Linked DNA regions of Canis lupus familiaris. The protein of the gene in region 1 purifies or fractionates together with the protein of each later gene. This does not show direct contact. Links are inferred from orthologs where the notes say so. Each region holds a gene or a part of one and is shown on either strand. Other genes may lie near its edges.

What was found.
Region 2: the proteins of EN1 (region 1) and TLE1 purify together in Homo sapiens (affinity purification with western blotting; 4 studies listed by BioGRID and IntAct, with this or other methods). This does not show direct contact. The link is inferred for Canis lupus familiaris from reciprocal best matches to the Homo sapiens genes EN1 and TLE1.

Annotation. Positions count from the first base shown.
Region 1 is NC_049240.1:32,546,196-32,552,217, forward strand, and holds the start of EN1 (homeobox protein engrailed-1), read left to right. Parts: upstream 1-2,501; coding exon 2,502-3,402; intron 3,403-6,022. UniProt on the Homo sapiens protein: Required for proper formation of the apical ectodermal ridge and correct dorsal-ventral patterning in the limb.
Region 2 is NC_049222.1:78,171,424-78,177,552, reverse strand, and holds the start of TLE1 (transducin-like enhancer protein 1), read right to left. Parts: upstream 3,355-6,129; 5' UTR 3,127-3,354; coding exon 3,103-3,126; intron 2,299-3,102; coding exon 2,198-2,298; intron 741-2,197; coding exon 677-740; intron 563-676; coding exon 518-562; intron 1-517. UniProt on the Homo sapiens protein: Transcriptional corepressor that binds to a number of transcription factors. Inhibits NF-kappa-B-regulated gene expression. Inhibits the transcriptional activation mediated by FOXA2, and by CTNNB1 and TCF family members in Wnt signaling.

The DNA.
Region 1 (6,022 bases):
GAACTGAAGAGGACCCGGCCGACTCCCAGGTGGGGCTGGGGGTCGGGCTTGGGAGGGCCGAGGAGATCACCCCGGCCGGCTCAGCGCAGCACTCCCCAAAGTGGTTCGGGCAGCCCCCAGGCGGCCGGGAAGGTCTAACGGGGAGCTCTGAGAACCCCAGTAGAGGAGGACCCCCGGCCGACCCGAGGATGCAGCCAGCAGCACCAACTCCCACTCTCCACCAACCTCTAAACTTCGGGTCCTGGGGCGGTTCGGCCTTTCGCGGTTTTCGTTTTATTTCCCTTCCAACCCTCTGTGACTTTTCTGGTCACGGGGGAATTGTTTTGTATGGTCCTCTAAGACAATATCCCCCCCCAGAGACCCCTTTTCCGCTCCCAGACGAGGATGGGGCCAGAGAGAACAGGTCCCCCGGAGCCCCACGCTAACATCCCTGAGAAGGCCTAAGTTGCCCAAGCCGCTCTGGCCACTCTCCGGGACCGCAGGCTGCGGGATACAGTGTGCACCTGGCCCTCTGAAATAGCTCGGCAGACAAACCCTGCTGGTGTCCAGCGCCTCACCTCCCCCCACTCTCCATCCTTGGCGTGGGAAAACTTTTAGGGTGCCTCGACCGACCAGGAAACAGCGAAAAAGAGCCCAGCGGACTGGAGACGAGTCTCCGTGAGTGTGGAATTGGCATGAGCCTCCGCGATCCCCCAAAGCTTGGGAAGAACACGCAGGGCTAGAGCCAGAGGCCTCCAGGGAGTTGGGAGCAAGTCCAGAGACGTCTGGGCAACCGGGTTAAACTCGTTGTACACATCGTCAGCTGGCTAGGGCAAACACTCGGGGTGCAGTGCTTTCATTGGTTTGATTTCACTTTGCAGGGAAATCTAACTGGAGGTGGCCCTGAACCCAAAAGCCGTGCCTCGCGTGCATCTGCCCTCGAACTTGCTTGGCCCAGGGGCCCGCCCTGGACAACTCTACGAGGCCCGGATGGCTTCGACTCAGGCGGCCAGGGAAAGAGGCAGGCGCCTGGTGCGACCGGCTCTCCGGCTCTCTCGCGCCCTCTGGGCTTAATGGCGCCAGGACAGCTCCCGGGGGGTTGTCGAAGGTCCGGACAGGGTAGGATAGGGCAGGACAGGAGTAGGGATACTCCGGAAAGGACACGCAATGCAGCTGGCCGGCGTGCACTGCAAAACCGACAAACAGACGGTGCTAGCTAGGAGCAAGTCGCCTCCGGGTTTGCTATTTATGAAAAAATAAACTGCTTATCTGCAAGTAACCAACTCTAGGTCTATTTCACATCTCTGACCCTCTTCGTCTCACCCCTTCCCTACACACAGACACAGACACATACACACACACGCACAGACAACATTTTACCCGTCATAACAAGAAAAAGAGAGAGAGAAAATAAAAGGCTGAGTTTCTTAGGCATAGGGATGTAAAAGAGCCGAGGCTCCTGCCTCCTGACCCTGTGCCCGGCGCGCACGCACCCATAATCCTGCATTTCTCCAACAAGTTGTTTATGGAGTTGCTTCTCTATTTGCCTACACCCCCCCCCCCCCCAAATCCACCCCTCCCTGGTCTCCTTTGCCCCTTCCTCGGTCCTGGCTTGAAAGAGGGGGAGGGGCTCGGGCTCGGGTGGGGGAGGGCGGGCCGGACGCGCAGGGCTCAGGCCGCGGCGCCCCCTCTCCGCCAGCGGCCGCCGCCCCCGGATTATTTATCCGCAAAGTCCCGCGCGCGCCCATTGGGCCGAGGCCCGGGTGTCAGCGCGAGTCCTGGCTCGCCATTGGCCCCGCACACGTGCGGCCTGACTCACGTGCTTCCGGTTTGAAGGCAAAAAGTGTGCCTGGGTGATTTTTTTTTTAAGCGAGAGAGTTTGTGCAAAGATCCGAGCTGTCAGAGATTTGAAAAAAAAAAAAAAAAAAAAAAAAAAAGGCAGCCCCGGCGCTGGCGGAGACGCGCTCTCCCTGCAAAAAAAGCAAAGGCGATTAAAGGCGCTGCCAGCCTCGCGCTCTGGGCACAGCTGAGCGTGACACTCGGGGAAGTAAAACCCCTCACTACTGCCTAGGAAGATGGCTAGACTTTAAAGACTATTTTTTCCCTTTAAGAAAAAAATTTCTTGGAGCTTTTTTTTTTTCTTTTTTTCTTGCTTTCTTTTTTTCTTTTCTTTTTCTTTTTTTTTTTTCCTTCTTGGCCGTGGCTTACTCCCCATTTAAAACAAATCATTGAATCTGGTGGCAGAAAGGAAAAAAAAAAAAAGAAATAGCCAAGTGTCTCCATATCTGGATGTCTACAAATTAGAGAGAGGGAGAGACAGCGAGATCTATCTGCTCGATAAGAGCGAGCGATCCAGGCCAGGCGCCTGGGCTTTTTTTCCTGCACCCGCCCCGTGCCTTCGCTGGGGCTCCGCCGGCCTCCTTCCTCCGCGCACCCCCACGGGCCGCTGGCAAAGTGGGGTGGGGAGCGAGGCGGGGGGGGCGGGGGCCGGCGCGGCTGCCGGGGCGGCGGGGCGGCCGAGCATGGAAGAACAGCAGCCGGAACCTAAAAGTCAGCGCGACTCGGGCCTCGGCGCGGCGGCGGTGGCGGCGGCCCCGGGCAGCCTGAGCCTGAGCCTGAGCCCCGGCGCCGGCGGCAGCAGCGGCAGCGGCAGCGGCAGCGGCAGCGGCAGCGGCAGCGATGGAGACAGCGTGCCGGTGTCCCCGCAGCCCGCGCCCCCCTCGCCGCCCGCGGCGCCCTGCCTGCCGCCCCTGGCCCACCACCCGCACCTCCCCCCGCACCCCCCGCCCCCGCCGCCGCCGCCGCCGCCGCCGCAGCATCTCGCGGCGCCTGCTCACCAGCCGCAGCCCGCGGCCCAGCTGCACCGCACCACCAACTTTTTCATCGACAACATCCTGAGGCCGGACTTCGGCTGCAAAAAGGAGCCGCCGCCGCCGCAGCTCTTGGTGGCGGCGGCGGCCGGAGGAGGCGCCGGAGGAGGCCGGGTCGAGCGTGACCGGGGCCAGACCGGCGCAGGTAGAGACCCTGTCCACCCGCTGGGCACGCGGGCGCCGGGCGCCGCCTCGCTCCTGTGCGCCCCGGACGTGAACTGTGGCCCACCCGACGGCTCTCCGCCAGCCGCGGGCGGCGGCGCGGGTGCGTCCAAAGGCGGGAGCCCGGCTGCGGCGGCGGCGGCGGCGGCGGCCGTGGCGGCGGCGGCGGCGGCGGCGGCGGCAGCCAAGCCTTCGGACAGCGGCAGCGGCAGCGGAGGCGGCGTGGGGAGCCCCGGCGCGCAGGGTGCCAAGTACCCGGAGCACGGCAACCCGGCCATCCTGCTTATGGGCTCCGCCAACGGCGGGCCCGTGGTCAAAACTGACTCGCAGCAGCCCCTCGTGTGGCCCGCCTGGGTGTACTGCACGCGCTACTCGGATCGCCCGTCCTCCGGTGAGTACCCAGCCCGCGGCCGCGCCATGTCTTTCCGCCCCGCGGACGCCCCAGGGCGCCCCGCCGCCGCCGGGCCGGGGAGAACAGACCCGGCCTCGGGTGCTCTCTTCTCTCGCGGCCGCCGCCGCCTCCTCCTCCTCCTCCTCCTCCTCCTCGCCCCCGTCCCGGTCGCAGTCGGGTGTGCCCCCAGTTCTGCGCTCCTGGCCTCTGTGGCCGCCACTCGAGAGGCTGCAGCTCCTGGCACGGGAAGCTCGAGTCCGGCTCGATCCTTCGGCTTGGAACTCCGAGCCCCTCGGGCCTTCTTTGTGTTTTTACCTTTATTATCCTTAAGAAAAACACAAACAAACCCACAACCAGTCATTGATTTTTCTTCCAGGGAGAGGGGTGTTGAGAGCCGGCGGGAAGGTGGGCCTAGTGATCGGGCTCTGAAATCCCGCCAGCCAGGTCCTGCGGAGGCCGCAATGGAGCAAGGCTCTCATCAGAGAAATAATCCTCACCTTGTGTTCATACAAACACAAATACCATGTCGATATTTTCTGAGGAAAGTTCATTTACAGAGAGCTAGATTGGAGAACACACAGAAAGAGAGAGAAAAGCCTTTGATCGCTGTCCCTCCTCCCCAGGCCGGGTAAGCCAGAGAGTCTGACCCGGGTGGGTAGAACCCAGGGAAAGATGGTGCCGGGAGCCCCCCGCTCCTGGTTCTCTGCTGCTCGCAGACAGTGGGAGAGGAGAGGAGACGGGTCAGGCTCCCGCCGGGTCGCGGGGGCTCGGGGCATGATTGGCAGCCTCCTCGGCAGCTTCTTCCTGCCACTCGCACATCCTCCGGGCCCTGCCCCTTACTTCTTTCACTCTTTTCTTCCTCGGCTCTGCCAGTTAGCAGATTTCTCCAGCTATAGGTTGTTTTTCTCGACTGCCTTAGGCCCCTTTTGAGCCTGTCCCTCGAACTTGGAGACCCCGAGGCCGAGGCGTGCGCTGGGGCAGCCCTAGGCCCCCGGAGAGGAGGCTGGGGCCTGCCCACCTTCCGGGGCGGCAGCACGGGGGAGGCCGGTGGGCTCATCGAGGAGGACGGCAGGGGTCTGGCCTACAGCTGGCGTTGCGGGCACCGGGTCCGGTAGGAGGCCGGGCACAGCGTAGCCCCGCGCCGCTCTGCTCCGGCTGGTGTCTAGCCTCCCCACGGCTGCCGGCCGGGCGCGGATCGATGCGCGCTATCAGCCCCCGCCATCTCGAGCCCCGTTATTGACACGTCGGGCTCCCTGAACCTCCGAAAAGCTGCTTTGATTGACTCGCCTGATGGATAGAGTGATTGAGCTGTCAGGCTGTGAGGCTCAGGCCGGCCGGGAGGCTACGATTTTATTACAAGTGTCCGCGCCTCTGCACACACATACACAACACTCTCACAAACGTCGGGGACGCACAACGCACAGCGGGGCCTTTCTGGAGATGTACACATCCTTGCCCGCTCAGCTAATTGCTAATCTAAACCGAGGCCGCCCTTCCTCCCCACCCCACCTCTCAGTCCTCTCTGCACCCAGCTTAGGAGCCGGCCTTGCCTTTGTTCTTGGCTGCTTTCTCTCTTCGGTGCCTGGGGAGGCAGGGTACTGGCTCCTCCTGCATGGGCAGTTCACGGAGATGAACCTCAACCCAGACCTGAGTCGCTGCAGTCAGCCAGGCCTGGACTCTTTTGTCACAGGACAGCTAGTAACCCCAGGCTCTGGTCGGCCCCTGGAGCCAGCAGCCCAGCTTGCCCTTCTGTTGCTAGGTTTGGAGATGCTGGTGAAGACCCTTCTTTCCAGACAGTTTCAGATATTAAAAGGCACGACAGGGACTTAACTTGGCTCAGGAAGCTCCCATAACCAGGGCAGGGCCCGCCAAGTAAATGCCTAAATGCTGGAGGACTTGGGTCTGAGGCTGATGGACAGAGGTTCTGGCTTTCAAAGCTGCCTCCTCTTTCCCCCTCCTCTCTCCAGATCTGGACTCCATAGCAGCTTTCTTCTCAGACTAGGTTTTGGGAGAGACTTCACCTTCTTGGGGAGGTTTGCTGGGGCCTCTTCCCATATCCATCTGTGATGCAAAGCACAGATTTCTGTCCCTGTTGTCCCTCTGTCTCTTGACCTCTGCCCATAGTTTGCTCCTGAATGGGGGGTGGGGAGGAGGGATGTAGCCTCCTTGCAAATGTCATAGATGGGCAGGGGAAGCGGATCTGGCCTGTTTTTGTTATACAGGACTTTTCAATCCTGAAAACTGTAGTTTACGTGTTCAAAAGACAGAGAGAAGAGAGACCGTGCCTGCGCAGCCGGGTAGAGGAATGGGGACAGTGGGCTCTTTCTTACTGGCACCATCCAAGGGGCAAAGCAAGCAGAGAACCCTTGGGGCCAGCCAGGGTCATGTGGGTAAGATGTGTAACTGGGTGAAAGCCTTTCCCCCTCCCTTCAGAGAAAGGGGTGCTTAGTGTCTCCCTGGGACCCTAGAAAGGGCTTCCTTTAGGCCAAAGAGAAAGGAGAGGCACAGAGAACATACGGCCGAAGATCTAGGCAAGCCCCTCACCGTCCCCTTGTTTTCTGGGGTCAATAGCTATAAGCAGATGGGGTCTTATTTTAAGTTCTGGGTGGAGGTGCACATC
Region 2 (6,129 bases), on another chromosome or scaffold:
TTTGCTAATAAGCCACTAATCTTGAATGTCACTTTATGCAACCCCGAAGCAAGACGAGAACCCCACAGTTAGTCATATACAATGTTTAACCTGCTTAAGAAACTCCTGAATATCCTTCTTTCCCCTCCACCCGCAGGACCACACTGCTGTTCCAACCGGCAAAAAAACGTTAAGTTACTCTGAATTTCAGAACTCTATGGGATATCCAGATCTTTCAAGCAGAGAATAAATCTATCCAGGTAGAAAAGCCAACTCAGAGACTCAATTTCTATCAGCCTATAGACAGGTTGGGTCACATTTCCAAAGCACCTCTCACCTAGTCACTTACAGATTCTGTAATTGTCAAGAAGCAACTCTTGCTGCAAAACACTACCACCAATTCACAGGAAGGGAAAGAAACTAAGGGCATACAAATTCCCCCCCCCCCCCCCCCCTCCGACCACTGAGGACACAGCCAGTTTTATAGAATCATAATGACTGATTTCTCATTTCAACTCGAGATTTCAATAGAGCTTACCTGTTTATGCATTTCTATGTTTAATCCATATGACATTTCATAATACTGCAAAAAGAAAAAAAAAATCAAGCATTTCATTAATTCATGTTTTGCAATGCTAGGAACACGTATTTGCTAATCTTACATGCAAAAGAAAGAAGTCTAATCTCTGATACCTACCATCACATAGTGCCTCTGCATTTCTGTCTTTTCACTTGCCAGTTTCTCACATTCCAATTTAAGGCTACAAAAACAAAACAGGCAACTTAATGTAAACATTATGTCACTTGTTTTAACATCTGCCTCACATATTTGCACTTCAAGTAAAAACACAGACCAATTTGGAAAAGCCATAAACTATCTAGGTAAACATGCAAAAGCTTTGTCCTTGCATTTAATAGGGAAAGGGAATAAGGTGAACAGTACAGCGTCTCCACTCAGCTACTATTATTTTTCTTCTTGATGCATACCTGGTCAGATGCCAAGAATGAAAAATCTGTCAAAAGCCCTGATCTACTCAGAAGACCAAATCCTCCTCCTGTTCATCTGTTCACTCCTACTTCCCTGGACCAGTTTGCTCCTCTGGATTCCACCAAAATCTGGCCTTTGCACAATTTTCAGCATCAGACACAGGCTGTCCCATCTATGCCAACTCAAACAGTCTCCAAATTTAAAAACTATACTCTAGAGTTACTTCTACAATTGTTGGTCCCTTTTGAAATCTTGTTTTTAAATCCCTGCCAAAATATGTTAAGTAGCTACTCCCGGCTTGGTAAACACAGTGTGAGCAGGTATGCCTCAAGTTCCAGAGATTATTATCTTCAAGCAGACAAAAGGTCAACAATCAGAAAAGCCTCTGACAAAATAAGAAAATTCACACCCAAGCATCTGTGCACTTTTTCTCAAGCATGACCAAAATAAGGGCTGTCATTACAGAGTTATTTCTTAGCTCTAATCAGCTAAGACTTCACTGGAACATGGGAAAGAAACTAACAGTTCTGGAAAATCCACTATGGACAGGGCGCTTTACAATCACTTTTCACTTATAAACCTTTTGAAGTAGGTCTCAGTTAGGTGAAGAGACTAAGCCAGGATTTATATAAATGAGACTGCGGTCCCCTGTCCTTCCCAAACCACTCCAAAATGACGACGCCAGGCAGGGGAGCTTCCTCCTGCACCTAACGCCCCCCCTCCCCCCCCCATCACCAGTGATGGGCACAGCTAACAGCACCTGGTCTCCCATGATGGACTTTGTCTCAGACAACACAATCCCCTGGTATGGCAAAGAGCGATTTCAACACTGGCTCTGCCTCCCTAAACCTGCACTCCAGGGTTGGAGCATCGATTGAACCAAGGTTTCAGCTCAGCCTGTTGCAAAATAAATAAACGAAGTGCAAATATTGACGGTTCTCATGCAACTCCTAAATACTCAAAAAAAAAAAAAAAAAAAGGCTCCCTGTAACAGCAGCAAACCGGCAAAAGGGAAACAATGGTAGTAGGAGGAGATTAGAGGAGAGACGGCCCAGGAATAACCTGGAAACAGGGTAACATGAATGACAGGTCTTAACTGCGACTCCACACGCCACCGCCTGGACGCGAGGACTAAGTACAGCCGCCGCCGCCCCCGGCTGGGCGAGGAGGTGCCGGGGCTGCCCCCGGGGCTACCGCTCGCCCGCCCGCCTGTCCTGGCCGGACACGCACCTGTGGTACTGCGCCTGCAGGAACTGGAATTCCTCTTTAATCCGGTCCAGGGACTCCGGGATAGTGAACTTGAAGGGCTGGCCTGCAGCCTGGTGCGGCGTCTGGGGGCGGCCGCCGAGGGGAATCGAGGCACAGGGATGCGGGGAGACAGACAAACAATGAAGGCAGAGGAAGCACAAGTGGGCGGGACGTAAACAAAAAATAAAGTTAGAAGTGGCGGAAAACCGAGCCCTGAACTCGAGTTTGCTCTGCGCTTGATGGAAGGAGAAAGCGGACCCTCGCCCGGCCTGGAGCCTCCTCGGTGCTCGGTGCGTGCGCCCGGGTCACAGGCTGTAGGGACGGGGCTCCCGGCGGCCGGGGAAAACCAGGCCAAATCGTCGTCGTTGCCCCCGCCCCCTCCCCACGGGGGCGATAATGACCCCGGGGACCAGAGAAGAAAAACAACAGCCTAACGCTCCGCGTTCCCAGAGACGCGGGGCCACCTCCGGGCGCGCCGGAGCGGGGGCCGCATTGACATGTAAATAGGCGAGACGAGAAACAAAGGGGGGGGCGTCCTACCCGTCTCGGCAAGGGGGTGGGGTGGACGGAGAAATCGCTCCGGGAAAGAACCCCAGCGCCCCCGGGAGCCCCCGCCCGCCCCGTCTAGACATCAACTCGGGGGGGGGGGGGGCAAGAGCAGAGGAGAAAATGGAGTTTCAGCTCCCTCCCCAGCGCAGGAGGGAGGCTCCGAGACCCCCCCAGCCTTGCACCCCCAGAGGCTTGCGCGGGGCGGGGGGGAGGGTGGTCCTCCCGAATTTAACAGAGACCCGTCCCCTGCCGCGCGGGGCGAGCGTCTATCCCCTCCCCGCCCCGCCCCCCCCCCGCGCCCCCCCCCCCCCCCCCCCCCGTACCCCGCCGCGCCTCACCGGGTGCCGGCTCTGCGGGAACATCGCTCTGGCGGCGGCCGCAGCTCTGTTTCCGGGCAACTCAATTCTCCGCTCAATTTCCAACTTTAATCCCGCCGAGGAAAATTAAGCCGAGAAGCCGGGCGAAACCCGGGGCGCGGGGAGCGCGCGGGCCACGCACGCAGGCGCGCTCGGCGGGGCGCCCCGGCCGCTCCTGCTCCCGCCGCTGCGGGCTCCCTCGCTCAGGGCCACATCGCGGGGCACCCGGGCCGGTGACGCCGGCGCCCGAGAAGAGGGCGCGGGGGCTGCGATCCGGCCCGTGGGCCTCCGCTGCCTCGGCGGGGACGCGGGGGGCGGCGACTCCGGCCGCGCTCCCCTCGGCGATCCCGGTGCGCGGCACCCGTCCCGGGCAAACAGATCCAGGCGGGCTGCCTTCCTTCGCTCTTCTCCCGCTCCGCCTCCTCTCCGGGTTTTCCCCGCGGCCACGGCCGCGGGCGAGGCGCAGGTGGCCCGGCGCCCCCGGCTAACCCCACACCCACAAACCTGGCGACGTTCGGGTCACCGGGCGCTCGTGGGCTGCGGGAGGCGGCGAGGCGCACGGCCCGGGCCGCGGCGGGCGGCGGGCGGCGGGCGGCGGAGGGTCCGCGCCTGGCGCCCCGCGGCCTCAGCCCCGGCGGAGGAGCAGGAGCGCGGGAGGACGCCGAGGCGGGGAAAGTGCGGAGGGCGCGCCGGGAGGCGGCTCGGCACGCCCCGAGCCAGCGGCACTCGGCGGACTCCGCGGTCGCACGAACCCTCCGGGCCCGGCGGGGCTACTCCGCGGCGGGCAGAGCGGCAGCCGCCCGCTGCTCCTCGAGCCCCGGGCGCATCCGGGCGCCGCGCCCCGCGCGCGCTCGCCCCACCCGGCCGGCCCGGGCGCTCCGGACTCTCGCTCCGAGCCCCGGCCTGGGCCCTCTTTCTTTCCTTCCCTTCGTCCGCCTCTTGGCACAGGGCGCTCCAGCCCGCCGCAAAGTTCTCTCACGACCCGGGGGGCGACATCCGCGAGGCGGTGGAGAAAAGAGCAGGAGCGCGTTCCGCCGCGCGGCCTCCCTCCCCGGCGGGCAAACTCCGCGGGCGGGTCCGGAGTAGTCGCGGCGGGGGTTTGGTCGCCGCGGGCCGGCCGTGAGCGGGTGGGGGTGGCGCCGGCGGTCGCCCCGGGGACGCGGGGCGCAGGGTGCTCGCCGCTGCCGCTGCTCCTGCAGCCGCCGCTCCCGCCGCCGCCGCCCGCGCCTCTCGCGCCGGTTACATTAACACGCGGTTTCACACTCCGGAGCTAACCAGCGCCGGCCCCGCCCAGCCCCGCGCGGGCGGGGGCGGGAGCGCAGAGCCGGCGGGGGACGTGGGTCCGGGAGGCCGCGGGGGGCGGGGCAGCGCGCGCCAGCCAATCGCGCGCGGGCGCCCAACGTGGGGCGCTGACGCGACGCCTCCCCGCAGCCTATGGTAGCGCAGCGCTGCGCGGGCCGCCCCCCCCCCCCTCCGCTCCCACCCGACTCGCTCGCGTCTCCGCCGTCTCCCCGGTGTCCCCTCCCACCCCGCTCCGCCCCCCCCCCCCCGCCCCCCAGCCAGCCGCGTCCTCCCGGGCTCGGTGAGGAACTGTTCCCGGAGGAGCCGCGGGACGCCGAAAGCAGCCAATGGGAAGAGGCGAGACGCCGAGATTGGCACCGTGGATGGGAAGGTCGGTGGGAAGGAGAGCGGCGGGGCCGGGCTGTCAATCAAAGTAACGTGGGGCCGGGCGGGGGCGCGCGGGCGCGGGCGCGGGCGCGCGCGAGCGGGAGGGACCGGCGAGCGTGCCGCCGCGGAAGCCGGGGGCTCGAGTTTGCAAAAATCCTGCCACTTGTTCACTTTTCCCTTTAATGGAAATCCTCAGATCCCAGTGAAAGTGACTCGGAGTCTAACCGCGCAGTTTCTTAGGGGGGGCGGGGGAGGGTTGGGGAGGTGGGTAGTTCGAGCCAAACGAGTCTTTCCGTGCTTGCCCTTGTGTGATGCTCCTCTTTTGAAAGTGAGGTCACATTCAGAAATCTCTCTGAGGATTGTTTTTCCGTGAGCTGCCTGTCCGTGAGAAGGAGTAGTGGACTGTGCACCCGGTGGAAACCGCGGCAGCGCGTGGGCTGGCGCACGGCCCCGGCCGGCTAAGACTAGGCTTTTAATACTCAGGCCACCCCCCACCCCCCTTTGCACCCAACGTGGGAGCGGTTGGCTTTTATTGAAGCATTTCAGACGACTTTGCAGAAAGGTCGGCCTGCCTTCGTTTGGCGGGAAGGATGCCCTGAGGTGCTGCCAGGGTAAGGCACGCGCGTCCCAGTCGCGGAAGCGCGAAATCTCGGGCCCTTGTCTTGGGCCGAATTCGCCGTCTTGGGAGTTGGGGGCCGCCGAGAGTTTTAGGGGCCTCTCAGCAACACGCCCACGAGTCTGTGCCCACTTACTAGACACAAGGGAGACAATGGGATAAACCCGCATTGAGACCTGGGAACCTGTCCTGCCCGCCCCTTACCCCCATCCTTTGGGTGGTACCCAGGGCAGGGCGGAGCTGCGTAAGGACCTAAATGGGAAGCGTTGGGTCCATCAGCCCCTCGTGGCTAAAATTCTTACGAGTGGAACTTGACCTAAAAGGTATTTTGAGGTTTTAAGTAAATGTGGCATACTGTGTCAATCTCCAGTTTTTGTCTATTTCTCCAAATACACGGCACAGCAGAGAACCTTCAGTATTGCCGCATTTATACTTTTATTTAAAGAACAGTTAGGTTGAGCTATTTTCACACGGTTGGTGAGTGAATAATACCGTGGTAGCCAAATGGTGGTGAATGCTTCGGTAAGAAAGACACGTCTTTGATAAGCATTCATCCTACCTTGGAATATACTTCAGTTTTTGGTATTAATAACGCCCACGTTCTCATTATTTTACTTTCCAGGGACTTATGGAAAAGCATTTATTTAAACAGAAACACATTTGATTCGGAGATTTTCTTTCTCAGAGATCTTTTTCTTGAAATATTAAAAGAATCATTTTAGATA